Linked DNA regions of Macaca fascicularis. Each later gene encodes a partner of the first gene's protein in a complex. Links are inferred from orthologs where the notes say so. Each region holds a gene or a part of one and is shown on either strand. Other genes may lie near its edges. The genes, in order: ITGB7, ITGAE and FLNA.

Region 1 (9,921 bases):
AACTCTTACAATTCAACGACAAAAAGACAACCCAACTTTTAAAATGAGCAAAAGACTTAAAAAGACATTTCTTCAAAGAAGATAGACAAACAGCCACCCAGCATATGAAAAGATGCTCAACAGTATTAATCATTAGGAAAATGCGAATGAAACCCACACTGATCTGGGTGTGGTGGCTCACACCTGTAATCCTAGCACTTTGGGAGACCGAAGTGGGTGGATCACTTGAGATCAGGAGTTCAAGACCAGCCTGGGCAACATGGTGAAACCCCCATCTTTACTAAAAATACAAAACTTAACCGGGCATGGTGGTGCATGCCTGTAGCCCCAGCTACTCGGGAAGCTGAGGCACAAGAAGCGCTTGAACCTGGGAAGGAGAAGCTGCAGTGAGCCAAGATCGGGCCACTGCACTCCAGGCTAGGCGACAGAGTGAGACCCTGTCTCGAAGCAAAAGAAAGAAGGAAGGAAGGAAGGAAGGAAGGGAGGGAGGGAGGAAGGAAGGAAGGAAAACCACAATGAGATACCACTTCACTTCTACTAGAATGACTATCATCAAAAAATGAAAAACAGCGAGTGTTGATGAGAACGCGGAGAAATTGGGATCCTTATATATTACCGTGTAAATAATGTAAAATAGTACAATCTCTGTGGAAAACAGTTTGATTCCTCAATAAATTGAGCGTAGGATTACCCTATAACCTGGCAATTTCACTCTTAGGTATATACCCAGAAGAATTGAAAACAGGTGTTCAAACAAAAATTTGTACAGAAATGTTCACAGCAGCACTACTCACAATAGCTAAAAGGTGGAAAGAACCCAAATGTCCATTGGCTGATGAATGGATAAAGAAAAGGTGGTATATCCATACAGCAGAAAGTTATTTGGCCATAAAAAGCAATGAAGTGGGGCGGGCACAGTGGCTCACGCCTGTAATCCCAGCACTTTGGGAGGCCGAGGCAGGTGGATCACCTGAGGTCAGGAGTTCAAGACCAGCCTGACCAATACAGTGAAACCTCATCTCTACTAAAAATACAAAAATTAGCCAGGCATGGTGGTGGGCTCCTGTAACCCTAGCTACTTGGGAGACTGAGGCAGGAGAATTGCTTGAAACCGAGAGGCAGAGGTTGCAGTGAGCCGAGATTGCACCATTGCACTCCAGCCTGGGTAACAAGAGCAAAACTGGGTCTCAATAATAATTTTAAAAAAAGGCCGGGCGCGGTGGCTCACGCCTGTAATCCCAGCACTTTGGGAGGCCGAGACGGGCGGATCACGAGGTCAGGAGATCGAGACCATCCTGGCTAACACGGTGAAACCCCGTCTCTACTAAAAAAATACAAAAAACTAGCCGGGCGAGGTGGCGGGCGCCTATAGTCCCAGCTACTCCGGAGGCTGAGGCAGGAGAATGGCGTGAACCCGGGAGGCGGAGCTTGCAGTGAGCTGAGATCCGGCCACCGCACTCCAGCCTGGGTGACAGAGCGAGACTCCGTCTCAAAAAAAAAAAAAAAATAATAATAATAATAATAATTTTAAAAAAAGCAATGAAGTACTGATACATACATGCTACAACATGGAAAACATTGTACACTAGCAGAAAACATGCTCAGTGAACAAAACCATTCATGAAAGATCACATATTGTATGATTCCACATATGGAACATATCCAAACTAGAAAAATCCACAGAGACAGAAGGTAAATTAGTGGTTACCAGAGCTTGGGGGAAGGGGAAATGGGGAATGACTGCTTAATGGGCAGTCTCATTTTTGGGGTGATGAGTAAGTTCTGGAATTAGTGAAGGTACTTAATGCCACTGAATTGTACACTTAAAAGTGGTAAAAATGATAAATGTTTGTGTATCTTACCATTTTAAAAATCAAAAAGTTAATCCTACCCCATATGCCATACCCAGTTTCCACACCTACCTTAAATGAATATCATTTATTACTATTTTTTTTCTTTTTTCTTTACTTTTTTTTTTTTTTTTTTTTTTTGAGGCAAAGTCTCACTCTGTGGCCCAGGCTGGAGTGCAGTGGCATGATCTACAGCCTCCGCCTTCTGGGTTCAAGCGAGTCTTGTGCCTCAGCCTCCTGAGTAGCTGGGATTACAGGTGTGAGCCGCTACGCCCAGCTGATTTTTGTGTTTTTAGTAGAGAGAGTTTCGCCATGTTGGCCAGGTTGGTCTCGAACTCCTGACGTCAAGTGATCCGCCCACCTCAGCCTCCCAAAGTGCTGGGATTACAGGCATGAGTCAACCTATCTTTGTTTCTTATAATCTTTCTAGAGATTGTTTTATGCATATACAGATTAACATGCATATGCTTTTTAAATGGTAGACTCAAATGGCCCAATTCTTTAAATGGTAGAAAACACAATTTTTCACTTTTTTTTCCTGTAACTACTTTTCTTTTTTTTTTTTTTTTTTTTTTTTTTTTTTTGAGACGGAGTCTCGCTCTGTCGCCCAGGCTGGAGTGCAGTGGCTGGATCTCAGCTCACTGCAAGCTCCGCCTCCCGGGTTCCCGCCATTCTCCTGCCTCAGCCTCCCGAGTAGCTAGGACTACAGGCGCCCGCCACCTCGCCCGGCTAGTTTTTTGTATTTTTTAGTAGAGACGGGGTTTCACCGCGTTAGCCAGGATGGTCTCGATCTCCTGACCTCGTGATCCGCCCGTCTCGGCCTCCCAAAGTGCTGGGATTACAGGCTTGAGCCACCGCGCCCGGCCTCCTGTAACTACTTTTCTTGAAGATCTTTCTACATGAGAAAATTAAGAACGTCCTTGTTCACTTTTACAGCCATAAAGCTTTCCATCGCATGGATACCTCATATCACAGTTAATCAGTACCAAGGATGTGCATTTAAATTGTCTCTTCTTTTTTCTTTTGAGACAAGGTCTCACTTTGTTGCCCAGGCTGGAGTGCAGTGGTGCCGTGATGGCTCACTGCAGCCTCCACCTCCTGGGCTCAAGCGGTTCTCCCCAGCTCAGCCTCCGTCGTAGCTGGGACCACAGGTGTACATCGTCACGTACAGCTATTTTTTATTTTTTTGTAGAGACAGGGTGTTGCTATGTTGCCCAAGCCGGTCTCAAACTCCTAGGCTCAAACTCCTAGGCTCAAGTGATCCTCCTGCCTCGGCTTCCCAAAGTGCTAGGATTACAGGCATGAGCCACTGTGCCTGACCTTAAATTATTTCTAGTTCACTATGACAAACAACGCTGAAATGAAAAGTAATGTATTTATTTATTTATTTATTCATTCATTCATTTGAGAGATAGGGTCTTTCTCTGTCACACAGGCTGTAGTGTAATGGCGCAATCATGGCTCACTGCTGCCTTGACCTCGCCGGCTCAACTGATCCTTCCACCTCAGTCTCCCGAGTAACTGGTACTACAGGCGCATGCTACCATGCCTGGCTAATTATTTTTGTATTCTTTTGCAGAGATGGGGCTTCCCCATGTTGCCCAGGCTGGTCTAGAACTCCTGAGCTCAAGTGACCCACCCGCCTCGGCCTCCCAAATTGCTATGATTAAAGGCGTGAGCCACCTCCCCCAGCCAAATGTCATGTATTTACCATTTCACTCGTGTGCAACTGAACCTGTAGGATAAATCCCTAGCAGAGGATGTGCAGGATAAATAGATAGATATCATTTTCAATGTTGGTGTGTATTTCATCTACATTCTCATGCTAAGAAAAGTATATATATGTTGGTGGGTATTGCCAACATAAACTCCTCGGTGCTTGTACTGGTCCACATTCCCATCAGCAGTGTATGAGAAAGGCCAACTAACTCCTCGTCATAAACCATTTGCATCTTCTTCAGCCTGGGCCAGAGTCAGTTCCAGATACTCTGCACAGAGTGTGGGAAAGGGGTGGGGTGCTGAGTTCTTGAACATCCTGGTGCTGCTCCCCACCACCTGTGACCTCAGGTGCCATATATAACGGAGGCTCCACCCCTCGGGGAGAGGCCGGCCCCAGTTCAGCCTCAGTGTAACCTCAGCCCTGCTTGCTCTGCGTGCCTGTGGTCAGGGAGGCTGGAGATGCTGCAACCCAAAGCCCGGTTTTGACTCATTTCTCTCAAGTGGAGCCCCAGCTGCCACATAGGTTTTTCAGAGATCTCAAGCCCACTCTTCTCCCCTTAAAAGGGGCCCTGGGACTCCCTGGACAGCCGTTTTCTACCTTTCTTCCCAATTATCCTCTCTTCTCCCCTCCTTGGGAATACATGTTCTGCCACCTGTTTCTTTGCTTCTCTGTCTCTCTCTGGCTCCTTTCATTTCAAAACTTCTATTGCATCTCTCTGCTGCTTTTCTCTGCTCCACTTCTTCATAGGGCTGTTTTACTTCCTTTTCCCCTCTGTTCCTAACTATAGAATGGCTGAATCTTCACTCCATCCCACTCTTTTCACAAATGGAAACCTAAATTCCATGAGGCCATGAAGGGGTCGCCTGCCCCTCCACACCTGTGGGCGTTTCTCGTTAGGTGGAACGAGAGACTTGAGAAAAGAAATGAGACACAGAGACAAAGTATAGAGAAAGAAAAAGTGGGCCCAGGGGACTGGCGCTCAGCATACAGAGGACCCGCGCCGGCACAGGTCTCTGAGTTCCCTCAGTATTTATCGATCATTATCTTTACCATCTTAGAAAAAGGGAAGTGGCAGGATAATAGGATCATCGTAGGGAGAAGGGCAGCAGTAAGACATATGAATAAAGATCTCTGTGACATAAGTTTAAAGAAAAGTGCCGTGCCTTGATATGCATATGCAAACATCTCCATAAACCTTTTTAGTGCATAAAGAGCAGCATTGCTCTAGCAAGTCCCACCTTTCGCCCTAAGGTGGTTTTCTCCCATCTTAGTAAATAGAATATATAATCGAGTTTTACACCGAGATGTTCCATTGCCCAGGGATGGGCAGGAGACAGATGCTTTTCTCTATCTCAACTGTCAAGAGGCCTTCTTTCCTCTTATATTAGTCCTCTTCAGCACAGACTCTTCACGGGTGTCAGGCTGGGGGACAATCAGGTCTTTCCCTTCCCACGAGGCCATATTTCAGACTATCACATGGGGAGAAATCTTGGACAATACCTAGCTTTCCTAGGCAGAGGTCCCTGCGACCTTTGGCAGTGTACGTGTCCCTGGGTACTTGAGATTAAGAGAATGGTGATGACTTTTCACAAGCATCCTGCCTTCAGGCACTTGTTTAACAAAGCACACCCTGCACAGCCCAAAATTCGTTAAACCTTGAGTCACCACAGCACATGTCTCTTGCAAGGACAAGGTTGGGGGTAGGGTCACAGATTAACAGCATCTCAAATGCAGAACAAAATGGAGTCTCTTATGTCTACTTCTTTCTATACAGACACAGTAACAGTCTGATCTCTCTTTCTTTTCCCCACAAGGCCAGGGTCACCCAGTGAACTAGGGGCAGGGCAGGACAGGGCAGGGCCAGACCTCTGCTGTGCTTCCTCCTTTCCTCCCTCCAACCCGGGTACCATCTCCATCAAAAGTTGTGTTCTGTCTCCGCTAGCCCTGATGGGCTCTGCCTAATCCCATTTCTCTTTCCTTAGGGGTACTCTGCAGTCTTCCCTTCTCTTCCTGGGACCAAGTGGTTATTTCCATTTTTCTGGACTCCATTCTGACTCCAATACACACCATGTGGCCCCCCTCAGCAGCTGAGAAACAGAGCCTCTTCCCAACCCATCCATACCTCCCAAGTCAAGCAGAACCCTCTGCTGCCCACTGGGAGTCACAACAAGGGAACGGAACTGAGCTGCTGGGCCTCAGTGTCCCAGGAGAGTGAAGTCTGTGGCCAAGGTGCCGATTAGGAAGAAGTTTGAGCTGAAGGCAGAGCATTAGGGATGGCAGCTGGGGTGGTGTTGGGAGAACCTTCCCTCAGTATAATCGGTATACCTACCCTACCTCAGTATAATCCTTAGCACATGGCAGGCACTCGAATGACAGCACTCGTACACATCCCTGCCTCCAGACCCACTGTTGGGAAACTGATGCAAGAGAGATGGGCTTTGGGAGAAGTGGGGGTGGGGGGGCTGTGAAACTGGAGGAGGGAAGCAGGTCAGGGGATCTTAGGAATGCAGAAAGGAGTTCAGAGCCTTTCTCAAGTCTGGACAGGACCCTCGATATCCAGGTCAGAGCCCTCTTCCCAAGAGGTTGGGACCAGGTGGGCCTGGGCTTGTAAGGAGAGGAGGCAGAAGGGCTGGTGCCCTGGTACTCACAGGTGCGTGCAGAGCAGCCCTTCCTCTGGCGGCGGCAGCAGCCTTTGTGTACTGGTCTGGGAGACTGCAGAGGAGGAAGTGACACTCCCTGGGGTGGGGAAGATTTGGGGTTGGTGGGGGTGACTGATCTAGAAGGTGGAGCAGATTGGGGTGGGGCTGAGCCAAGGGAGTGGATGATACAGAGATCTGGAAGAAAGAAGCTCATTTATTGAACTCCTGTCGTGTGTTGAACGTAACATACTATAATTAACCCTCACAACCACCTCATAAGATAGGGGTTAATATTCTCCTAAGTCCCAATTTTACAGATGCAGAGATTGAGGCTTAGAAGCAGGAAATATAGAATTTTGCCCAAGGTCCCACAGCTAGTAAGTAGCTAGTCTAGGATTTAAAAAAAAAAAAAAAGGCCGGGCGCGGTGGCTCAAGCCTGTAATCCCAGCACTTTGGGAGGCCGAGACGGGCGGATCACTAGGTCAGGAGATCGAGACCATCCTGGCTAACACGGTGAAACCCCGTCTCTACTAAAAAAATACAAAAAACTAGCCGGGCGAGGTGGCGGGCGCCTGTAGTCCCAGCTACTCAGGAGGCTGAGACAGGAGAATGGCCCGAACCCGGGAGGCGGAGCTTGCAGTGAGCTGAGATCCGGCCACTGCACTCCAGCCTGGGCGATAGAGCGAGACTCCGTCTCAAAAAAAAAAAAAAGAAAAAAAAAAAAAAAGAAAAAAGATTTTTATTTTAAATTTTTGTTATTTTTTGATTTTTAATTTAATTTAATTTAATTTTTGAGACAGGGTCTTGCTCTGTTTCCCAAGCTGGAGTCCCATGGCATGATCTCAGCTCACTCCAAACCCCGCCTCCCAAGTTCAAGCGATTCTCCTGCCTCAGCCTCCCGAGTAGCTGGGATTACAGGGGTGCACCACCATGCCCGGCAGCATTCTATATTCTTAGTAGAAACGGAGTTTCACCGTGTTGGCCAGGCTGGTCTCAAACTCCTGACCTCAATTGATGTGCCCACCTCGGCCTCCCAAAGTGCTGGGATTACAGGTGTGGGCCACCGTGTCCAGCCTATGTTTTTATTTTTGAGACAGAGTCTTGCTGTGTTGCCTAGGCTGGTCTGTAACTCCTGGATTCAAGCAATCCTCCCACTTTGGCCTCCTGCATAGCTGGGATTACAGGCACACCCGGCTGGTCTGGGATTTAAATCCAGGTCTGCCTGCCTCCAAAATTCATGATCTCTCTATTAACTTATACAGGAAGGAACATGATAGGAGGGAATAGAGGCAATAAGTACTGTAGAGAGGCGGGAAGTTAGAGACTCGTTCATTTTGAAAACCCAGGATACATTGTATTAGTGTGCTTGACTACATAGGCTCTGGAGCCAAGTTGCTACAGTTCAAATCCTGGCTCTACTACTTACTTGTAGTAAGGATCTTAGCTGAATTACTTAACCCCACCTGCAGCTGTTTTCTCATCTGTCAAGCAGGACTCACAGGATTGTCGGGAGAATTAAAAGAGATAATTCATATCAATTGCCTAGAAGACTACCTGGCCCATACTAAGTAAGGGCTTGATAAGAGAATTAGTAGGGATGAGAAGTGACAGGTGAGAAGTGAAGAGGCTTTGAGAAATTCAAGGTCCAGACAGCTGGAAACTTGGAAGAGAGAGGCACAGGGCCAGGCTCAGAGCATGTGATTGGGGAGCCAGGAGCCAAGACAGTAGTGGAGCCTGGGAAAGGGGTGGAGGATGTGAACTGGGAGAAGCAGAGTGCAGGAACAATAGCTGAAGCCAAGGAAAGGATGAAGCCTGTAGGGAGAGTAGGAAAATATTAATGGGATTTGCTCCTGGACCATACAGATCACTAAGAGCTTTGAGAGGGAACTAGACATGAGATCTGTGTTCACAGGTTGATCTCCCCTACCAGAAGGAGCACTCCTTGTGGGCAGGGACTGGCTCTACCAGGCTTCCCTGCTGGCGCCACCACACCTAGCCAAGTGCCCATCTTACAGTAGGTGCTCAATGTCAGATGGATTGCAGAGGTGTAGCTGCTAGGAGGGGACAATTGGAGAGGAGGGGCTCTTTCTCTGGGTGGGCTTGGCCGGCCTCAGGCTATGGGGTAGCCAGAACCCATACCCTTCCCCCACAACCAGGGTTTACCACGGCAATGACCCTCCTTCCCCACAGGCCCTGTGGTTTCCTCTAGAGCTTCTTTCACTTTCTTCTTCTGCTTTCCGCCCTCCACTCTTCTCTCCCCTACTCCCACATCCTCAACTTTTTTGTCATATCCACAGGTCACCAGTGAAGAGAGCCAGGAACAAGGTAGGCAAGGCACTGTCCCAGGGAAGGTAGAACACGGAGGCAGGGCTTGAGGGGAGTCACAGAGGGCGAAGGGAAGAGTACAGGGTGCAACAGTAGAGGCCAAAGACACTGCAAAGGCGTGCTGCAGAGAGGTGTGTGGGAGCAAGGACAGATATTCGGAGAAGGTAACAGTGCAGGGGGCGGTGAGTGGAGGTCATGGGGTGAAGAGTGGGAACAGAGAGGGTGGGGGGAGTAAGCTATAAGGTGATAGCAGGGTGGGTGGGGACAGAAGGCCAGAGGGCTCCCTGGGTGAGGGGCTGGTGTAAAACAGAAACACTGTAGCTTAGATGCAGGTTGTGGTTCTTCTCTTCTGGGGCCAGGAACCCTCATAAGAACTAAATGAAACTTCAGGCCAGGCACGGTGGCCCACGCCTGTAATCCCAACACTTTGGGAGGCTGAGGTGGGTGGATCACTTGAGGTCAGGAGTTCGAGACCAGCCTAGCCAATATGGTGAAACCCTGTCTCTACTAAAAATACAAAAATTATCTGGGCATGGTGGTGCACTCCTGTAATCCCAGCTACTCAGGAGGCTGAGGCAGGAAAATCCCTTGAACCTGGAAGGCAGAGGTTGCAGTGAGCCAAGATCACGCCACTGCACTCCAGACTGGGCAACAAGAGTGAAATTCTGTCTCAAGAAAAGAAAATACTCCTTCCCCAAAGAAGAGCAGATATGCACATATGCATAATTGGAGGTGGGGACAGGCTTACAGACCTGTGAAGTCCATTCATGCCCTCCCAGAGATCCACAGGATCCAACATAAGAACCCACACCAGGCCAGATGCAGTGGCTCACGCCTGTAATCCCAGTACTTTGGGAGGCCAAGGCAGGCGGATCACCTGAGGTCAGAAGTTTGAGACCAGCCTGGCCAACATGGTGAAACTCTGTCTCTACTAAAAATTAAACAAATTAGCTGGGTGTGGTGGTGCACCCCTGTAATTCCAGCTACTCGGGAGGCTGAGGCAAGAGAATTGCTTGAACCTGGGAAGTGGAGGTTGCAGTGAGCCGAGATTGCGCCACTGCACTCCAGCATGGGCCTGAACCCACACCTGGTGGTTGTGGGAAACCCGGTCACTCAGGGTGAGTCCCCATGGCTCCCTTTCCCCCATCCTGTCCCCACCGCAATCCAGGCACATTTCATCCTGTTTTCTTCTACCAAGAAAGCTGCAAAGTCCAATCAATTACAAGCTCTCCCTACTCACTCAGCTTCCTCACCAGGTCAGCTGATCATTTCCCTACCACCTCCTAAAGGGAGCCACATCCCATGAGTTTCCATCACTTTATTTTGCAAAAATAGAAAACTCAGCAATATGCAATACAGCGGGGTACAGGGGAGATGTAAACAGAGG
Region 2 (9,205 bases), on another chromosome or scaffold:
GGCGTGAACCCGGGAGGCGGAGCTTGCAGTGAGCCGAGATGGCACCACTGCACTCCAGCCTGGGCGAAAAAGTGAGAATCCGTCTCAAAAAGAAAAAAAAAAATTATATATATATATAGTGTTTACAGCAGTGTCTGGCACATGATAAACGCCTGGCATATGATATTATCTATCATAAATGATAGATAATAGAGTATTAGCTATCATTTTAATGTCATTACTCTTCCTGTATGCACACAAAAGGAAGAGACTGCCAGCCAGCACCTTTCTGCTGGGAGCAGGTGAGAAGCAAGAACACCTGTGTTACAGCCCTCCCTCTGCCTAGCCTCGCTGTGTGACTTAAGGGGGCATCACCCCCTTCTTTGGGTCTTTTGGGAGGATTGTGAACCCTCCCCATTCTAATACAGGTCAGAGAATGAAGTCTCTCCTGGAGGCGGTCATGCCTCTGGCAAAGCTCTCTTCTTCCTTTACTCTCCCCTGCTCAGAGACAACATCTTCACCTCAAGCCACGGCTCCAGAAGAAAGGCATCCAAGGTCATGGTGGTGCTCACTGATGGTGGCATATTCGAGGACCCTCTCGACCTTACGACAGTCATCAACTCCCCTAAAATGCATGGTGTTGAGCGCTTTGCCATTGGGGTAAGAGCCAGGAGCCGGGAGGCCCCTCCTGACCCTGCTCAGCCTGGGGTGGGGAGGAGTCAGGGTTGTAGATGGGGGCTTCTCTGTAAGCAGCTTATCCAGACCCTGTTCTGTTCGCAAACACTCCCCTTCTCCCCATGCCCTGTCATCCCAGAGAGGGCCCATTTCCCCATGGTGGTCACAGCTTCCTGGCCAAATAGTGACGGGAGAGCCCACAGGAAACGCACCAAGGAATGTTCCTGGAGGACCGTGGTGCCGAGCTGAGTCCTGCCAGACAAATGAGAGTAGCTGCTTAGGGCACAGGGGAGGCAGAGAAGGCCCCGCAGGCAGAGGGAAGGGGAGTAGCTGCTTAGGGCACAGGGGAGGCAGAGAGGGGCCCCGCAGGCAGAGGGAACGGGAGTAGCTGGCCTAGGGCACAGGAGAGGCAGAGAGGGCCCTGCAGGCAGAGGGAACGAGAGTAGCTGCTTAGGGCGCAGGGGAGGCAGAGAGGGCCCCGCAGGCAGAGGGAAGGGGAGTAGCTGCTTAGGGCACAGGGGAGGCAGAGAGGGCCCCGCAGGCAGAGGGAAGGGGAGTAGCTGCTTAGGGCACAGGGGAGGCAGAGAGGGCCCTGCAGGCAGAGGGAATGGGAGTAGCTGGCCTAGGGCACAGGGGAGGCAGAGAGGGCCCCGCAGGCAGAGGGAAGGGGAGTAGCTGCTTAGGGCGCAGGGGAGACAGAGAGGGGCCCCGCAGGCAGAGGGAACGAGAGTAGCTGCTTAGGGCGCAGGGGAGGCAGAGAGGGGCCCCGCAGGCAGAGGGAACGGGAGTAGCTGGCCTAGGGCACAGGAGAGGCAGAGAGGGCCCTGCAGGCAGAGGGAACGAGAGTAGCTGCTTAGGGCGCAGGGGAGGCAGAGAGGGCCCCGCAGGCAGAGGGAAGGGGAGTAGCTGCTTAGGGCGCAGGGGAGGCAGAGAGGGGCCCTGCAGGCAGAGGGAACAGCATGTGCAGAGGTGAGGAGGGGCTCGGTGTGTTCAGGAGAACTGGTGTACTTTGGTAAAACTGGAATTTTGCCCAGAGTGTGTGTAGAACAGGGAGCAGGGAAAGGAGGAGAAAGGAAGAAAGGAGGCAGGTAATGGAGGGCCCCAGAGGCCAGGGGAAGGGGCTCAGCTCTCTCCCTGGGCCTGGGGAATCCCCGTGGCGCTGACTCGCTGACCCAGGCCCCCTGTGCAGGTGGGAGAAGAATTTAAGAGTGCTAGGACTGAGAGGGAACTCAACCTGATCGCCTCAGACCCGGATGAGACCCACGCTTTCAAGGTGACTAACTACATGGCGCTGGATGGGCTGCTGAGCAAACTGCGGTACAACATCATCAGCATGGAAGGTGAGGGCTCCAGGACCCACGCCACCACAGGAGACCCCAGCCTGTGCTCTAGCCCCGCCTCTGTCCCATCTTCATGTGGTTTCTTTGAGCAACTCCCATCATCTCTCTAAGCCTCAGCTGTTCCATGTCTAAAAAGGCAATGGCCGGGTGTGGTGGCTCACGCCTGGAATCCCAACACTTTGGGAGACAGAGGCAGGTGGATCGCTTGAGGCCAGGAGTTCGAGACCCGCCTGGGCAACATGGTAAAACCTTGTCTCTACTAAAACAAAAATTAGCTGGGGCCGGGTGTGGTGGCTCACGCCCGTAATCCCAGCACTCTGGGAGGCCAAGGCCGGTGGATCACCTGAGGTCTGGAGTTCAAGACCAGCCTGGCCAACATGGTGAAATCCTGTTTCTGCTAAAAATACAAAACAATTTAGCCGGCCGTGGTGGTGCATGTCTGTGATCCCAGCTACTCAGGAGCCTGAGGCAGAAGAATCACTTGAACTTAGGAGGCGGAGTTTGCAGTGAGCCAAGATCGCCTCACTGCACTCCAGGATGGGTGACAGAGCAAGCCTCCGTCTCAAAAAAAAAAAAAAAAAAATTAGCCAGGCGTGGTGGTGCGTGACCTGTATTCCCAGCTACTTGGGAAGCTAAGGCAACAGGTCACTTGACCTTGGGAGGCACAGGTTGCAGTGAGCTGATATTGAGCCACTGCACTCCAGCCTGAGCAACAGAGCAAGACACTGTCTCAAAAAAAAAAAAAAAAAAAAAAAAGAAGGCAACAATATCTCCAACCTCCTTGCGTCCCAGAATCTCCATGAAGTTCTGATGAACTGAGCTGGTGCTGGAGAAACAAGGATGACTGGAGCGTAGTCCCTTCTCCCAGGAGCTCCCAGACGAGGAAACTGAGGCCTAGAAAGAGAGAGCGAACTGCCCAGACAGTAGTTGCTCAAGGAGAACCTGGGTCTCTACCTTCAACCGGGTGCTCTTCCTGTTACACCAAGCATGGTTCCCTGAGGCCAAGCTGGACTGTCCCCTGCCTCCGTTTCTCCCTTCACCTCCGCCCACAGCAGTCTCACTGGGCTTCTTGGCTTGCAGGCACGGTTGGAGACGCCCTTCACTACCAGCTGGCACAGATCGGCTTCAGTGCTCAGATCCTGGATGAGGTATGTGGCTGACTCAGCACCAGGCAGGCTCGCCCGTTGGGAAGGGGCCCAGAACACCTAGGATTCAGGGACTCCTGCCTCCCATCCAGAGCTCTGCTCTCCCTGTGATGATTCCTCTAAAAGAGCCATTTTATTTTACTTATTTATTTATTTTGAGACGGAGTCTTGCTCTGTCGCCCAGGCTGGAGTGCAGCGGTGTAATCTCGGCTCACTGCAACCTCCGCCTCCCAGGTTCAAGTGATTCTCCTGCCTCAGCCTCCCATGTAGCTGGGATTACAGGCACCTGCCACCACGGCCAGCTAATTTTTGTATTTTTGGTAGAGACGGGATTTCACCATGTTGGCCAGGCTGGTCTCGAACTCCTGACCTCAGGCGATCCACCTGCCTCGGCCTCCCAAAGTGCTGAGATTACAGGTCTGAGCCACCACGCCGGGCCTGAAAGAGCCATTTTAGGATAAAGGGAAATATTTCTGCCTGCTCATCTTAATCTGGACCACTGAGATAGACAGAAGTGTGGCCATATTGATGACAGGAGGTGGATTTTTTCTGTGTGCTCAAACATCCAGTTGCTCCCCTGAATACAGACCAGTCAACAGGATTCGGCCTGGGTCAGCCTACCAACCAAGCTGCTTGCTTCTCCCGGAGGCGGGAGTGCAAGGGCACGAGGCAGGAGCCCAGGGTTGGCCATCTCACCTTCGCACCTGCATCTCTGGCCAGACGGGCACTAGGCCACCGAACGCCCCCCTTCTCCCAGCCAGGTTAGCCGCGCTGGCCCAGAGACCCGCTGCCACCGTGGCCCGGCCCTGGGTCCCTCCCACTCATCTGGGCCCCATCCCCGTCCCCTTCAGCGGCAGGTGCTGCTCGGCGCCGTCGGGGCCTTTGACTGGTCCGGAGGCGCGCTGCTCTACAACACACGCAGCCGCCGGGGTCGCTTCCTGAACCAGACGACGGCGGCGGTGGACGGGGAGGCTGCGCAGTACAGCTACCTGGGTGAGGGCGGGGCCTGGGGGCTACCTGGGTGAGGGCGGGGCCTGGGGGCTACCTGGGTGAGGGCGGGGCCTGGGGGCTACCTGGGTGAGGGCGGGGCCTGGGGGGCTACCTGGGTGAGGGCCGGGCCTGGGGGGCTACCTGGGTGAGGGTGGGGCCTGGGTGCTACCTGGGTGAGGGCCGGGCCTGGGGGGCGAGGCTACCTGGTGAGGGCGGGGCCTGGGTGCTACCTGGGTGAGGGCCGGGCTTGGGGGCTACCTGGGTGAGGGCCGGGCCTGGGGGGCGAGGCTACCTGGTGAGGGCGGGGCCTGGAGGCTACCTGGGCGAGGGCGGGACCTACCTGGGCGAGGGTGGGGCCTGGGGGCTACCTGAGGAGCGAGGGGCCAGGAGACTACCTGGGTGAGGGCGGGGCCTGGAGGCTACCTGGGCGAGGGCGGGGCCTGGGGGCTACCTGGAAGAGGGCGGGGCCTGGAGATTACCTGGGAAGGACGGGGCCTGGAGATTACCTGGGTGAGGGTGAGGCCCAGATGGGGACACCGAGGCTGCGCATTGGGCTGTACTTGAGGTTTCCAAATGGGGGCGAGACCTGGTCGGTCACATGGGCCGAGGGGCGGGCCCTGGTTAGGGACCCTGAGGCTGAGAATTACCGCCTCCTGGATAGGGACAGGGCCTATCAGGTACACCAGGCAGAGCAGCCGCCCACAGGAAGGCGGGGCCTCTCCATTAATAATAGTGGTGCAGTAGCTCACGCCTGTAATCCCAGGAGGCCAAGGCGGGCGGATTACCTGAGGTCTGGAGTTCGAGACCAGCCTGGCCAACATGGCAAAACCCTGTCTCTACTAAAAATACAAAAATTAGCTGGGCGTGGTGGCAGACGCCTGTAGTCCCACGTACTCAGAAGTCTGAGGCACAAGAATCTCTTGAACCTAGGAGGTGGAGGTTGCAATGAGCTAAGATTGTGCCACTGCACTCCAGCATGGGTTATAGACCGAGACTCTGTCTCAAAAATAAATCAATAAACAAAAATAATAATAGTGGTGGGCAATCCTCTCACACCTCTTCTCAGTCCCCCTAGGGTGTGTGTGTGAGCGTGGGTAGTAGATGTGTGCGAACGAGTGTTTTGAGCAAAGCTGCATACGTGACAGTGTGTGCATCACTTCTGTTGATGGGGATGTGTGTGACTGGTAAAGGGAGAGTGTTTGCTGGTGCAGATCTTTAATATAGTGAGAAAGACAGTCTCTCCTATTTTACCCCCCTCCCCAGGCCACTTTGAAGGCCTGACTGGGAAGGTGCCGGGGCCAAAAGAGAGGCCAGGTGGGAGCACACGGTGTGTTCACAGCCATCCCACCCTTGCCCCAGGTTACGCTGTGGCCGTGCTGCACAAGACCTGCAGCGTCTCCTACGTCGCGGGGGCTCCACGGTACAAACATCATGGGGCCGTGTTTGAGCTCCAGAAGGAGGGCACAGAGACCAGCTTCCTGCCAGTGCTAGAGGGAGAGCAGGTACCCACTGGGGAAAGCTCCCACCCCTTTTGACGGATGGGGAATCTGAAGGCCCCAAGGGAAAGGGGTGGGTCCCAGGGTGCACAGTGGGCCAGGGCCCAGGCCGGGTAAAACTCAGGCTCCTGAGTGGAGCTCAAGGGCTCTGCATGTCTGATTGCTACACAGTTTCCTCCGCTGTGGGGCCTGGACTGCTCCTCCGCTCTCCTGTTACTCTCAGTGAGCAAACTGATATGTAACGACCCAAACCGGGTGGTCCAGGAAGCACGTGGGCACAGTGTAGCCTTGCTGAGGGGTGGAGGAGTGGGGCTCCTGGTGAGCTGAGTTCCTCCCGGGCTGTAGATGGGGTCCTATTTTGGCTCTGAGCTGTGCCCTGTGGACATTGACATGGATGGAACCACGGACTTCTTGCTGGTGGCTGCTCCATTTTACCATGTTCATGGAGAAGAAGGCAGAGTCTACGTGTACCGTCTCAGTGAGCAGGTGGGAGAGTCTCCATCTTCATGAGCTTGATAAGGCTGTGGCACTCAGCCTGGCACAGAGGTGATGGAGGCTGGGAGTGCCCTGGCTCTGCCTGGCACCAGTGGGCAGTGATGGGGAGGTGCTCAGGCTGGATGGCGGCTGGGCAGGGCAGCGGCATCTCTCTCCGCACCCACTTTCTTACCCAAGGGCAGTCGTTGATAATATCTGTAATATCTCTTTTCGTTGTTGTTGTTGTTTTTGAGGCAGAGTTTCGCTCTTGTCGCCCAGGCTGGAGTGCAATGGCGTGATCTCGGCTCACCGCAACCTCTGCCTCCGGGGTTCAAGCGATTCTCCTGCCTCAGCGTCCCGAGTAGCTGGGATTACAGGCATGCACCACCACGCCTGGTTGGCTAATTTTGTATTTTTAGTAGAGACAGGGTTTCTCCATGTTGGTCAGGCTGATCTTAAACTCTCGACCTCAGGTGATCCACCCACCTCGGCCTCCCAAAGTTCTGGGATTACAGGCATGAGCCACCGCGCCCAGCATTTTTTTTTTTTTTTTTTTTTCTGAGACTGAGTCTCACCCTGTTGTCCAGGCTGGAGTGCAATGGTACAATCTCGGCTCACTGCAACCTCCACCTCCTGGGTTCAAGTGATTCTCCTGCCTCAGCCTCCCAAGTAGCTGAGAATACAGGCACCTGCCACCACATCCAGCTAATTTTTGTATTTTTAGTAGAGATAGGGTTTTGCCATGTTAGCCAGGCTGGTCTCGAACTCCTGACCTCAGGTGATCCACCTACCTCGGGCTCCCAAAATGATGGGATTACAGGCCTGAGTCACTGCGTCCAGCCGATGACATTTCTTACAGCTGCATGGGTGGCAAAGCCCATTTAGTCCAGGATCTCATTTGTTTCTCACAGCAACTATGGGAGGTAGCTGCCACTCTTATCTTACGGATGAGGAAGCTGGGGCTCGGTGAGCCTGTGATGCTGAGACTTGCTCAAGTGTACCTAGCATGTATGTGGCAGAGCCGCGAGTGGAACCCAGGCCTCCCATTTGCAGCAATGCACCCCTGCCCATGGAAGTAGAGGGGGGCAGGCTCTGAGTCCTGAACTTCAAGGTGGGAGGACCCCAGCTTTCCCCTCGTGCTGTGTGATCTTGGGAAAGTCCCTGGCCTTTTCTGGGGCTCAGGCTCCCTGCTGGAGAATCAGAATCCACCAGCCCAGTGAGCGTGCATCCTGGGTGGCCATGGAGTGGGCACCTAGCGCCCCTTCTTGGGGGCTGAGCTGTTTGCTTGCTTTACAGGATGGTTCCTTCTCCTTGGCACGCATACTGAGTGGGCACCCCGGGTTCGCCAGTGCCCGCTTTGGCTTTGCCATGGCGGCTGTGGGGGATATCAGTCAGGATAAGCTCACAGATGTGGCCATCGGGGCCCCCCTGGAAGGTTTCGGGGCAGGTGATGGTGCCAGCTTCGGCAGTGTGTATATCTACAATGGACACTGGGACGGCCTCTCCGCCAGCCCCTCGCAGGTGACCCATGGGGCCCTCTCCTTCCTCTCCTCTGGGGCTCTGACCTCTCCCAGATATGATGACCAAGCCCCAAGTCGACTTCAGTCCTAAGTGCTGGGCAGGTCTCAGGGGGCTGGGAGTGCCCAGTGGAAGAAAGAAGTCCCTCAGGCTGGTGGGAGGTTCCAGACCAGGGCCTCAGCTCAGCCCCTTCAGGTTGAGGGGAGGTTGTGGCGGTACCTGTCTCCTTCCCTGGCCTATACCCTCTCCTTCCACCCACCTGCCTCGGGTCCCTGCTTCCTCTCTTTCTGTCCCTCGCTCCTGTCTCCCACCCAGCCACCTCTCTGCCTTATCTCTCATTCCCCAGGGCTCCCTCGCCAGCCTCTCACACTGCATGTGTTACGGGTACTTTCACCCACCTGCAGCTCCTCCTGAGAACCTCCACCTGGATGGCCCCAGGCATCTCACTCCTGCCCGTGTGGCCCATCTGAGAGCACCTGCTCCCCCAGACCTGATGCTCCTCTGAGTCCTCATCCTCCTCCACCCCCAACACCAGAAACCTCAGAGGGTCCCCAGCATGCTCACACCCTGCACAGCTGTCAGTCCCCACGTCCTCATGATTCTAGCTGTCTCCCAAGTCCAGCCCCTTCTCTCCATCCCCACCGCTGCAGTCCCAGTTCAGGCCTTGCCATCCCTCTCCCAGCCCACCCAGCTTCCTCCTCCCCTCCATCTCCCACCCCATATCTTCAGTGCCATTTCTAAAGTATTATCCTGATTATGTCGCTTCAAAAAAACAGAACCTTTGTTGACACCCCCACCCCCAAGCCCCACATCAAGCCTCCTTGTACCCCAATCCCCTGCGGTCCACCCCGTCCCTGGCCCTGGCTGCTTCTCAGAGGGTCCTGCTCTTTCCCCATGCCTCACTCCCTTACTCTCCCCTGTCAAGTCCCACCTGCCCTTTGAGGCTCCACCCAAATGCCACTTCCTCTGAGAAAGCTTGCCCCCTCTTTCCTGGCTCTAGACTGGGGAGGGGGGGGCTCCCTGGGGCTGGATGGGGCCTGCAATGCTGATTGGTATAGAACATGAAAGAACTCCCTGCTCCATTTCCCTCCCTTCCCTCACCCCACGCCTTGTGTTTCTGCCTCCACAGCGGATCAGAGCCTCCGCGGTAGCCCCAGGACTCCAGTACTTTGGCATGTCCGTGGCTGGTGGGTTTGACATCAGTGGCGACGGCCTTGCCGACATCACCGTGGGCACTCTGGGCCGGGCGGTTGTGTTCCGGTAGGGCTCTGTCCTGCTTTCTGGGGTCCCAGGCCCAGCCTCACCCATTTGTCCTGCTCTAAATAGCTCAATGCAGATATTAGGCACCGAGGGAGGGAGCCAGCACTGTGGTTGGGGGCACAGGCTCTGGAGTCTGCCCGTCTGGGTTTGAACCTCGGCTCTCAGCCCTCTCAGGGTGCCCTTGGGCAGGTTATTTAATTCTAAGACCTCACATAGGAGTTATAAGAGCACTGCGTCCCAGAGCTAAGAGGATCATGCAAGTGAATATATGCAACGTCTTTAGCACAATGCTCAGCGATGGCTATGATTATTCGGAATTGTGGAGTTT
Region 3 (9,657 bases), on another chromosome or scaffold:
CAGGAGGAGGAGATTGGCTCCAGCTGGCCCAGAATCCAGGGCCCATGGCCTGGAGTGGGGCTGGGGCTGAGGAAGAGGAAGACGGGTGGCCCTGGGTGGTTGGGAAATACAACTGTTGTTCCAGGGTGGGTGGGGTGAGGCAGGGGAAGTGGGGGAGTTGGGCAAACACCCTTTGGGTAAAGGAGTGTGACCCCCACCACCACCTCCACTTCCTCTACCACCTCGAAGACCCAAGCTTGGAGCTGGGAGGCCACAGGCCCGGCCAGGGGAGAGGCCCAGAGCCCAAAGGAACCAGCAGTTGGGCCACATGGCCCTGACTCACTGGGGCCCATCGGGAGATGCCGGGCTGGCAGCAGGAGACACTGTGGGAACCCCCTTGCCACCCACTGCCTGATCCACTTGCCACCTAACGGGCCTGGGCCTCGGCAGGCTCGCCACAGGGGAAGTGGTTAGGGCGGGTCCCCGACACCCCCCATTGCCATGGCAACCCTGCTGGGCTCTGGGCCCCACCCAAAGCTACTTCTGGGTCTCAGGCTCAAGGCAGGATGGTTTGGGCTTTCTAAGAGCTCATCTTTAGAAGCTCTGTCAGCCTCTCCCATAATCAGACAAAATACTTCTCTGGTGAGTCAACTAGGGGGTGGGTCTATGAGGAGGGGCTGGGCCGTCCACGGCAGCTGCTTCCCAGCCCAGCAGGCAGCACCTGGAGGGCCAGGTGGGCCGCTCAAAGTAGAGTGGCCTCCCCAGTTCCCAGATTGGTCCTGGCCCCACGAGGCTGCCTTTCACTTTCCCTAAATGACAGCGGGGAGAGGGGCTCAGAGAGGACTGAGGGTGCAAGGCCAGGGAACAAGGCCAGCCAGGGCTTCCCATCAGGCCCCCACCCCAATCCAGCCTGAGACCCCTTAACGACCCCCACACCGGGAGCAACCAGGCCCACCAGGTCCATGTTAGGCCAACCTACTCCGTCCCCATCCCCCTCCCAAAAGAGAGTGTGAAGGACCAGGGCCCAGGGCTGGGAGACTGCCTGGCTGGATGGCCCCGCCCCATCCCACCCCCTTTCCCCAGCCCCCGGGCCAGCCAGCCCCTCCCTCCCCTAATCACTGCTGCTTTCCAACATTTTTTTGCCTTATATGGCAAAGCTCTGGGAACTAGGCCTGCTCCAGCCAGCTCACAAGGAGGAGGGGAGCTGGGAGGAGGGAGGAGACCCCCGCCAAAGAACTGGGGTGTGGCCCGCCTCCCCACATCCGGTCGCCCCCCCCCACACACACCATCCAGGACTCTGAAATGACTCAGCTTGGCTAGACTGAGGCTGGGACTTGGGGGGGTGGGCCTGCCCCTCGCCTCAACTGGCATTCCAAAGAAAGAACTTCAATTCTTGGGATCTGCCCTCTGAGTGGCTGGGGGAACCCAAGTCTTGGTCCCTCACTTTCTTGGGTTCAGCAAGGGCCATTCCAGAGCTGCAGGGATAACTGGAAGGCCTCTCAGTTCTGAAGAAGAGAAGAATCATCATCCCTCTCCTCTCCCTGTTCAACGTCACCCCCAAGTCACCCGTTCTGGTGCCTGCCCTTCCAAGCAGCCCCTATCTTGAGAAAGAACTGGGATGCTGCAGCAGGCCTGGTCAATGCCAGCCTCACCAGTCCAGTGACACAGACACTGGGCTGGCACAGTGCACGCCGGAGCATCTACCAACCAACTCCTGCGTGCTATACGCAGAAAAGCAAGGCCAACATGGAAGCAAGAATTTGTCCCAAGATGAACAGAAAAGTTGGCGTCCAAGTAGTCTACAAGCCAGGTCCCTCAGTCAACCACGCCCAACTCCGGGTACAGTTTTGCTAACTACGCTTCTTTCTGGCCCCCAGGTTCCCTGTGTGTGTGGGGGAGGTAGATCTAAACTGGTGGTTGGAGCCATCTCCGATGGGCGACGCATCCTCCAGGGACAGAAAGAGCCCAGAGTCCTAGACAATGGGACGCACGAGCTCCAACCCACACTTTAGAAACAAGGGGAGTTTGAAGCCAGAGGGCCCTCTCTAAACAGCTGTGGGGGGAGAGCCTGGGCCTCCTCCTCCTCGAGGATGGGGCGCAGGGCCAGAGCCTGCCCAGTGCCCGACCCCCCAGGCCCACTCCCACCGCGAGCACATCTGCGGGGGCGCGGCCTGCTGAGGATGGTGAGTTCAGCCTGGGCGCCGGCCAGCCGGGGCGCGGCGGGCGGGGGCGCGTAGCGGTTCGCACGCTCGGCCGGCCAGCCCGCCAGCCCGCCAGCCCGCGCGCCTTTGTTCTCCAGGCCCGCGTGGAGCAGACCAGCCGGGGGCCTCGGGAGCTGCGCCGCAGCCCGGAAGGAGGTGGTTTGGAGGGGTCCGCCCGGGGAGATGGAAGGACGCACGGAATTCCCGCCCCCGCCCGCCCGGCGCTTCGGGGCGTCCCTCACCGATGGACACCAGTTTGATGCTCTCGCGGTCCAGGAACTCGAGCGCCACCGACACATTCTCAAGCTGCATTTGGCGGAAAGTGGGCCGCTGGTTGTGCTTGCGGTGCATCTTCTTCTGGCTGAGCACCTCCAGCAGCGCGATGAGCCGCAGCCCGTCGCTCAGGTCCGTCTGCAGGTTGGCGATGCGCTTGCTCACGCACTTCAGGTGCTCGTTGCACCAGCGCGTGAAAGTGTTCTGCTGGATCTTCTTCCACGGTGCGTCCTCCGCGAGGTCCTTCTCGGTGGCCGGCATCTCCGCGTCCCGCGTGTCAGCGCCACCACCCGGAGCCGCGCCTGCTGCGCTCTGGCCCGCCCGAGAGTGGGAGCTACTCATTTTGAGGCGCGAGAAGCCGGGGGGGCGGTGCTGCAGCCTCGGCGAGGGGACGGCCCTTTAATTAAAGTCGCAGGCACCTCGGCGCGCGGGAGGCGAGGAAGGAAGCAGAGGTTGCGCTGCGGAGAGAGCGAGCCCTTTAAATGCGGGCGGAGGGCGGGGCCAGGGGGCGGGCCTCCTGCGGGGAGGGGCCGTGGGGTGGGGCTTCGGGGGCGCGACTGCCCCACCCCGCCCCGCCCGTTGGAATGCCCCCACTAGGCCCCGGGCTTTGGCTGATCAGACGTGAAACCCGGGCTCCGGGGTGGGTCGCTGGGCCCTGGAGTGGGCAAGGATGCTCCCAGCCCCGCGGCCTCGCGTTGGCGCTGCAGGAAACGCGCCCCAGAGCGAGGAAAGGCTGAGCAGTATCTGGCGCGGGACTGCTTGGCCTGCAGCCGGCGCGCCTTACAAGGGACTTTCCTTCCCCAGGGCTCCTGCGAGGGGTGGGGTGGTTCTCGTCCCTAAGTCACTTGGGCTCTGCCCCGTCCCTGCACAACCCTACCCTCCCACCGTCATCCCCTTTCCCCGGGCCCCCAGGGCCTAGGGTTCCCGGGCGGCATCCCGGTCCGCCGCCCCGGCAGCGGCGGGAAGGGGCCAACCCTAAGAGCGAACCCCTGGAGAGCGGCGGCCCCGGACCAGGCACTGCCGAGGGCCCTTTGTGTGCGCATCACCTGGGAAGCGGCTGCAGGGCAAGGCCTGCGCCTACGCGGTCCCCGCAGACCCCCTGCCACGGGCCTGCCTTCCCAGTCTGTAGGGCCCTCGCCTGCGCACCTGTGCCCGCTGCTTCCCACCGCCTCCCTCTCTGCTTCCCTCCACCCGGGAGGATATGGGGCACTGGGCCAGGAGGCCGCCGACACTCCAGGAGCAAGCAACCTTTGAAGGGGTCCGGGCGTGCCAACGGGCACGCCAGTGGGCGCGGGCAGAGGGTGCCGTGCGATGTGTGCAGAGACGTGTGCCCGCCTAATCATTCATGCCAGTTCACCCGGGGCACTGGGGGGAGTTGAAGCCGGGGTCCTCTCCTGTCGGAAAGGCCCCTGAGCCCAGCATGGCCAGCCAGGGGACAAACGGGAGTGGCATTCCAGACCCAGAGGGGCCTGCTCAGCGGTTCCCATAAGACTTGTCAGACTCTGAACACCTGGGTCTGGGTGGGCTTCGGGTGTGGTGGCAGGTGCAGAGGAGGCCTGAGGACAAGGATCAGGGGCCTGGGGTGTTGTGTCCCCAGAGCAGTGGGGGCTATTCACTCAAAATTTTCTGGTAGATAACTCTGGAGATGGTGCAGCGGCTGCTGTGCTGAGATGTAGACTGGGACCAGGGAACTGTTGGGGATGCTCACTGCTACTATCTTCAGCCAGAAGCCAGCCTGCCTATGGCTTCCTCCCCAGCATGCACTCCCTCTCTCAGTCCTCGGTACCTCCCCTCTCCGTAATGTTTCCTCCTCTGAGTATTTTTTTCTAGGAAGGCAGGTATCTGTCCCTCCTGCTCAATTCTAGTAATAATTAATTTATCTGCTAAAGACCAGTGAGAGGAGGAGGCTCCGGCTTGGCCAGCACGTCATGCCCAAATATGGTTGACTCTCCTGTAGCCCTAGTTGTCTACATGACATGTGGTCAGGCTGTGTGTGATCCACCCAGCACATTCACTTGGGGCTGCCTGTGGCCCCACTGGTTTTTCCCACTAGTGGTGGTGTTAGGGGGTGCAAATGGCATTTTCCAGTACTGAGGCCAACCCCTGTATATTGTCTCCTCTCCTGACGACTTTGAGACACACCTGCACCAAGTGCACCTGGGCGTCTGGGAGCTGGAGTGGAGGTGGGAGGGAGGACTGGAAAGGAGGGAGCCATACAGATCCCTCCCTGCCAGGCCCCATTCAAGACAGGTTTGAAGTTGTCCTTCTGGTCCCCCTGCCCCATGGAAAGTAAGTTCCCAGGCACGGAATTCCATCGAGAATTTACTCTCCACTAAGGGCCATTGAGTTGGGTTGTCTGGGTTCATTCCTTAATCTTCAGAGCTCAGGGAAACTGAGTCAGAGTGACCAGTAGCCAATTCCAGCAGAAAGGGTGTCAGGAGATGGGTGCCCTGTCTTCCAGCCCTAGCTTTTCCCTATTTAGAGGAAACAAGGAATGGGCGTGTAGAGGGTTCTTGTCCCTAGAACATAGTATCACCGCCAGATGTCGCCCGATCCCAGAGCCCCCAGATCGGGCAGTCTTGGGAAGCCAAAATCCAGCTCTTTCATATTTTCCCTTATTTGGAGTAGATTCTTGGATGTTAGACACACCCCGCCCACCACACCACCCCTGGCCCTCAGACCCCAGGCCAGACCCTCCCACTGGGAGGTATAGCCCAAGCCCAGGGGCTGTTCAGCTGGGATCCCTAAGGAGCCATTTCCAGGCCTGTGTAGCCAGGGGGCGCAGGAGGGAAGGAAGCAGCAGATTGGCAAGGTGAGAAGAGACCTGTGCTGGCAAGTCTGGGTGCGGCAGGTGAGGCTGCCCATTCCCAAGCTCCCACCTCGGCAGTGTACTCAGAGCACTTACAAATGGGTCTGCCAGTGGACTTTAACCTACTTTGCCTGGCCCCAGGTGGCATGGGAATCTGGGGACATTGCTGGTCACATCCTGGCTGGCAGTGCGCATCCAGCTCAGAGCCAATCTGGGATATGGCCCAGGGCCCGACCAAGGAACCTGGCCTGGCCTCAACCTCACCATGGCCGCCATGGAGTACAGCAGCCCAAGAACCAGCTCCCCTTTGCCCAAAGCAGCTGGTGTCCCGTGGACTCGAGCCAGCAAAGGACACGCTGTCCCCCTCCCAGTGGGCACACTGACTGAGAAGTGTCCTTCCAGGTGGCCACTCACCCTGAGTCCACACAAGTTCCTGGTGTCAGGGCCCTTCTCTCTCAGGCATGCAGTCTGTTCATGGGCACCCATGCAGGCACCAGTTTCCTGGCAAGTGCCCAGACACCCTCTTTCTCTAGGGGACCCCCCCATGGCCTCAGGCTCCCACATTCGTGGGCACAGACACGGCTCATGGGTCAACTAGGGAAGACATTCTCTGGACACTCACTCCCAGATGTCAGGGGCGCCTCCATCGGCTCACGCATCCCAGCTGAACCTGGCCCGGACCTGGGCGCGAGCTGGCGCCTGCGTTCTCGGGCCTCTGTGCCCGCCTTCTCCAACCCCGCCCCCGGCCGACAAGGAGCGCGGCGACCCTAAGCCGGGCCGCGGAGACCTCACCTGCTGTCCCTGAGAGCGACCGGTGGCCGGTGACCGCGGGGTGGCGCCCGGATCGCCTTCGCGCCCGCGCCGGGCGCCTCGGGGTTCTGTCGGCGTCCGCTGCGCGCGACGCGCCTCCACGCGAATGGGCCGCCGCCGCCCGCCTTCTTGTTGGCCGCATCCCCGCCCCGCGCCCGCCCCGCGCCCGGCCCGGCCTGGCGAGAAAGCCTTAATTGGTAAAATTGCCCAGGAGCCCGGGACGGGTGCGTGGGGGGCGGGGTGCGGGGGCGCGCCCTGAGCTCCAGCGACCCGCCGCCAGGCGACGCCGCCCCCCGAGATGAGCTCACCGCCGGCGAGGGCCGCCAGGCCCTGGGGGAGGGAGGACTTCGGCGGAGGGGAGGGAGTCGCCTCCAGCGCCCACAGGGTCTGCAGGGCTCATGTGTAGGCCCAATCACAAGGACGTTGCGTGTCTGAGTCTGGGGTAGCCAAGCGCACCCCAGGTGGAAAGGCCCAGGCCCAAGGCCACCTTCTCCAAGGAGCCACCCACAGTCACGGCCCCCCGGTATCTGTCCCAAGTCGGGATTGTGTTTCCTGGGGTGGGGGCAACAGGTCGTTGCAGGTGTTTGCTGGGTGCCTACCTCAGGCAGGGCCCCAGGACGGGACCGCAGGGCTCTGAGCCCTGGGATGAGCCTGACTGCCACCGATCGGGCGCTGCCAGGTCTGGCCTGGGGTGGGCAGCAGAAACAGGACCGCTCAGGTGGACAGTCAGGGGCAGTCCCAGAGCCTGGGAGTGTGCAGCGGAGTGCAGCCAAAGAGCCAAGTGTCTGTGAACATGGCGGTCACAGCCACGCCCTGGCACTGCCAGGCTCTCTCTTCCTCTTCTATGTGCCCATTTCCTGGTAGCTTCAGATTCAGCTCAAATGTCACTTCCTTGGGGAAAGCCGCATAAAGCAGTGCCGTTGTAACATCTTGCCCACAACCCCCAATAAGAATTACAGTTGACACTGTGAGCCAGCACACACACACAGACACACAGATTTGAAACAAAGAGTAGGCTGCTATTTTCTATTCTATTCCAAAGAGGGAAGGGTGGAAGGGAGGGAGGGAGGGAAGAAGGGAGTCTGCTCACACCTGCTAATTTAGTTCTGCAATCCCCAGTTTAACACTGTGGCAAGGCACTGGTTGCCCTCTAGGTCTTGCTGCCTCTGCTGGCAATGGCATTTCATCCCCGAAGCCCCGCGGAAATGTCCCAACAGGCCCAGGGGCTCATCTCCAGCTGCTCCATCCAGTGTGTGTGCCCTGCTGGGGAAGCCACTTGCTAGATGAGAAACCTGAGCTCAGGCCCTCGAGGTAGCTGTGCTGCGAATCACAGCCAAGGCTATCCTGAGGAGGGAATCCCGCCCACCCACAGGCACCGGAACAGGTGGAGGGAGCATGAAAGAGGTAGTGGCTGCTTGGCTGCGTCTCAAGATCCCCGCTGTATTTGAACCCTCTCTTTCCACTCCTGCACCGCTCCCCGACACACACACACCCCCTCTAAACACAAGCAGTTCTTTGAGTCTACTTTTTCCAGGTTGCAGTGGGAACAAAGGTTTCTATAACACCAGTCATTCCTTGTGAAGATCATGACATCTCCCTACGTTGAAGATGGCAGAGAACTGGAATTGGCTCCATTCCTGCTGCAAAGACTGAATCTCCAACCAGCTACACCAACAGTAGCAAGCTCACCACCCTCGAGGGCCACCAGGCCCTGGGGGAGGGAGGACTTCAGGGAGAGTCGCCCCCAGCCCCCACAGGGTCTGCAGGGCTCATGTGTAGGCCCAATCACAAGGATGCTGCGTGTCTGAGTCTGCGGGAGCCAAGCGCACCCCAGGTGGAAAGGCCCAGGCCCAAGGCCACCTTCTCCAAGGAGCCTCCCACAGTCACGGCCCCCCGGTGTCTGTCCCAAGTCGGGATTGTGTTTCCTGGGGTGGGGGCAACAGGTTGTGGCAGGCATTTGCTGGGCGCCTACCTCAGGCAGGGCCCCAGGACGGGACTGCAGGACTCCGAGCCCTGGGATGAGCCTGACTGCCATGGATCGGGCACTGCCAGGTCTGGCCTGGGGTGGGCAGCAGAAACAGGACCGCTCAGGGGGACACGAAAGTTAAGTTTGTTTAGTATTAAGAAGATTCTGATCTTAAAGAAAACATTGGCTGGGCATGGTGGCTCACGCCTATAATCCTAGCACTGTGGGAAGCTGAGGCAGGTGGATCACTTGAGCCCAGGAGTTTGAGACCAACCCGGGCAACACAGCAAGACACTATCTCTACCAAAAATATAAAAATTAGCTGGGTGTGGTGACATGCACCAGTAGTCTCAGCTGCTCAGGACGCTGAGGTGGGAGGATCGTTTAAGCCTGGGAGTTTGAGGCTGCAGTGAGCTATAATTTCACCACTGCACTCCAGCCTGGGTCACACAGTGAAACCCTGTCATTAAACATAAAAAAAAAATATGCACTGTAGCTCATGCCTGTAATCCCAGCACTTTGGGAGGCCGAAGTGGGTGGATCACGAGGTCAGGAGTTCAAGACCAGCCTGGCCAAGATGGTGAAACCCCGTCTCTACTAAAAATATAAAAACTAGCCAGGCACAGTGGTAGGTGCCTGTAATCCCAGCTACTTGGGAAGCTGGGGCAGGAGAATCGCTTGAACCTGAGTGTCAGAGTTTGCTGTGAGCCGAGATCACATCACTGCACTCCAGCCTGGGTGATAGAGTGAGACTCTGTCTCAAAAAAAAAAAAAAAAAAAAAAAAAAGGCCAGGCGCAGTGGATCCCAGCACTTTGGGAGGCCGAAGTGGGTGGATCACGAGGTCAGGAGTTCAAGACCAGCCTGGCCAATGCAGTGAAGCCCGGTCTCTACTAAAAATACAAAAATTAGCTGGGCATAGTTGCAGGCGCCTGTAATCCCAGCTACTCGGGAGGTTGAGACAGGAGAATCGCGAGAACCCAGGAGGCGGAGGTTGCAGTGAGCTGAGATCGCACCACTGCACTCCAGCCTGGGTGACAGAGCTAGACTCTGTCTCAGAAAAAAATAATAAAAATAAAAATAAAATGTTAACAGCTCAGTGAACAATCATCTACTTGTTATAGATACTGAGGAATGTTTCCATGTTGATATTTTTTCCTCATAACTCAGTCACGTTGGGATTGTAAGTTATACAACATATACTGCTTGCCAGCCATTCCATCCTTAAGGAGCAACTCAGTTTTCTTATTCTTGACTTAGAATTGGTTGCACCACGATGTCTCCTCTGCCTGCACTTCCCAGGAAGAATCCCCTGGAGACCCTCAGATTTTCCTGTACATGCCCTTCCCAGACCCTCTGACGACTGCAAATCCCACCCTACCCTTGACGGGAAACTCTCTGAGGCTGTCCAGGTCATCAACCCCAGGGACCAGGTACTGGTGGGGGAATGTTCCATGAATTAATTGCTGTACTCAGGGCTCTTGGACAAGTCTCCCCTGATCACAGGGTCCTGACTCTCCCTGTATAAGATGGACGCTCTGCTGCTCAGGAGCCTGCCTGGCTTCCAGTGGTCTGGAGTGGAGCTGCACTGCAATGGGGCTGGACTTAGGCTCCAGGTACC

Evidence for each region.
Region 2: the proteins of ITGB7 (region 1) and ITGAE are in contact, whole or in part, in a cryo-EM structure (PDB 8ZJF), measured with the Homo sapiens proteins. The link is inferred for Macaca fascicularis from reciprocal best matches to the Homo sapiens genes ITGB7 and ITGAE. Residues at the interface, in NP_000880.1 of Homo sapiens: Val201, Leu202, Pro203, Ser206, Thr207, Val208, Pro209, Ser210, Lys211, Arg213, His214, Cys216, Pro217, Arg219, Leu220, Glu221, Arg222, Leu255, Asp256, Ser257, Pro258, Thr291, Phe292, His293, Thr294, Ala295, Gly296, Asp297, Lys299, Leu300; in NP_002199.3 of Homo sapiens: Phe36, Leu38, Arg91, His92, Arg93, Gly94, Leu111, Arg113, Leu118, Ser119, Ser120, Leu122, Glu196, Glu198, Arg230, Tyr233, Glu234, Phe237, Glu238, Cys239, Asn240, Ser259, Gln260, Val262, Met263, Leu266, Arg300, Leu401, Gln403, Phe406.
Region 3: the proteins of ITGB7 (region 1) and FLNA are in contact, whole or in part, in a crystal structure (PDB 2BRQ), measured with the Homo sapiens proteins. The link is inferred for Macaca fascicularis from reciprocal best matches to the Homo sapiens genes ITGB7 and FLNA. Residues at the interface, in NP_000880.1 of Homo sapiens: Pro776, Leu777, Tyr778, Lys779, Ser780, Ala781, Ile782, Thr783, Thr784, Thr785, Ile786, Asn787, Pro788; in NP_001104026.1 of Homo sapiens: Thr2263, Gly2267, Ala2268, Gly2269, Gly2270, Leu2271, Ala2272, Ile2273, Ala2274, Val2275, Glu2276, Gly2277, Pro2278, Ser2279, Lys2280, Ala2281, Ile2283, Phe2285, Phe2311.

What each region holds. Positions count from the first base shown.
Region 1 is NC_088385.1:59,997,297-60,007,217, forward strand, and holds the start of ITGB7 (integrin beta-7), read right to left. Parts: upstream 6,269-9,921; 5' UTR 6,219-6,268; intron 1-6,218. UniProt on the Homo sapiens protein: Integrin ITGA4/ITGB7 (alpha-4/beta-7) (Peyer patches-specific homing receptor LPAM-1) is an adhesion molecule that mediates lymphocyte migration and homing to gut-associated lymphoid tissue (GALT).
Region 2 is NC_088390.1:3,800,811-3,810,015, reverse strand, and holds part of ITGAE (integrin alpha-E), read left to right. Parts: intron 1-485; coding exon 486-639; intron 640-1,843; coding exon 1,844-1,994; intron 1,995-3,074; coding exon 3,075-3,142; intron 3,143-3,990; coding exon 3,991-4,132; intron 4,133-5,488; coding exon 5,489-5,631; intron 5,632-5,970; coding exon 5,971-6,111; intron 6,112-7,010; coding exon of another isoform or gene 7,011-7,107; intron 7,108-7,395; coding exon 7,396-7,620; intron 7,621-8,746; coding exon 8,747-8,877; intron 8,878-9,205. UniProt on the Homo sapiens protein: Integrin alpha-E/beta-7 is a receptor for E-cadherin. It mediates adhesion of intra-epithelial T-lymphocytes to epithelial cell monolayers.
Region 3 is NC_088395.1:160,355,424-160,365,080, reverse strand, and holds the start of FLNA (filamin-A), read right to left. Parts: upstream 6,177-9,657; 5' UTR 6,055-6,176; intron 2,912-6,054; 5' UTR 2,796-2,911; coding exon 2,423-2,795; intron 1-2,422. UniProt on the Homo sapiens protein: Promotes orthogonal branching of actin filaments and links actin filaments to membrane glycoproteins. Anchors various transmembrane proteins to the actin cytoskeleton and serves as a scaffold for a wide range of cytoplasmic signaling proteins.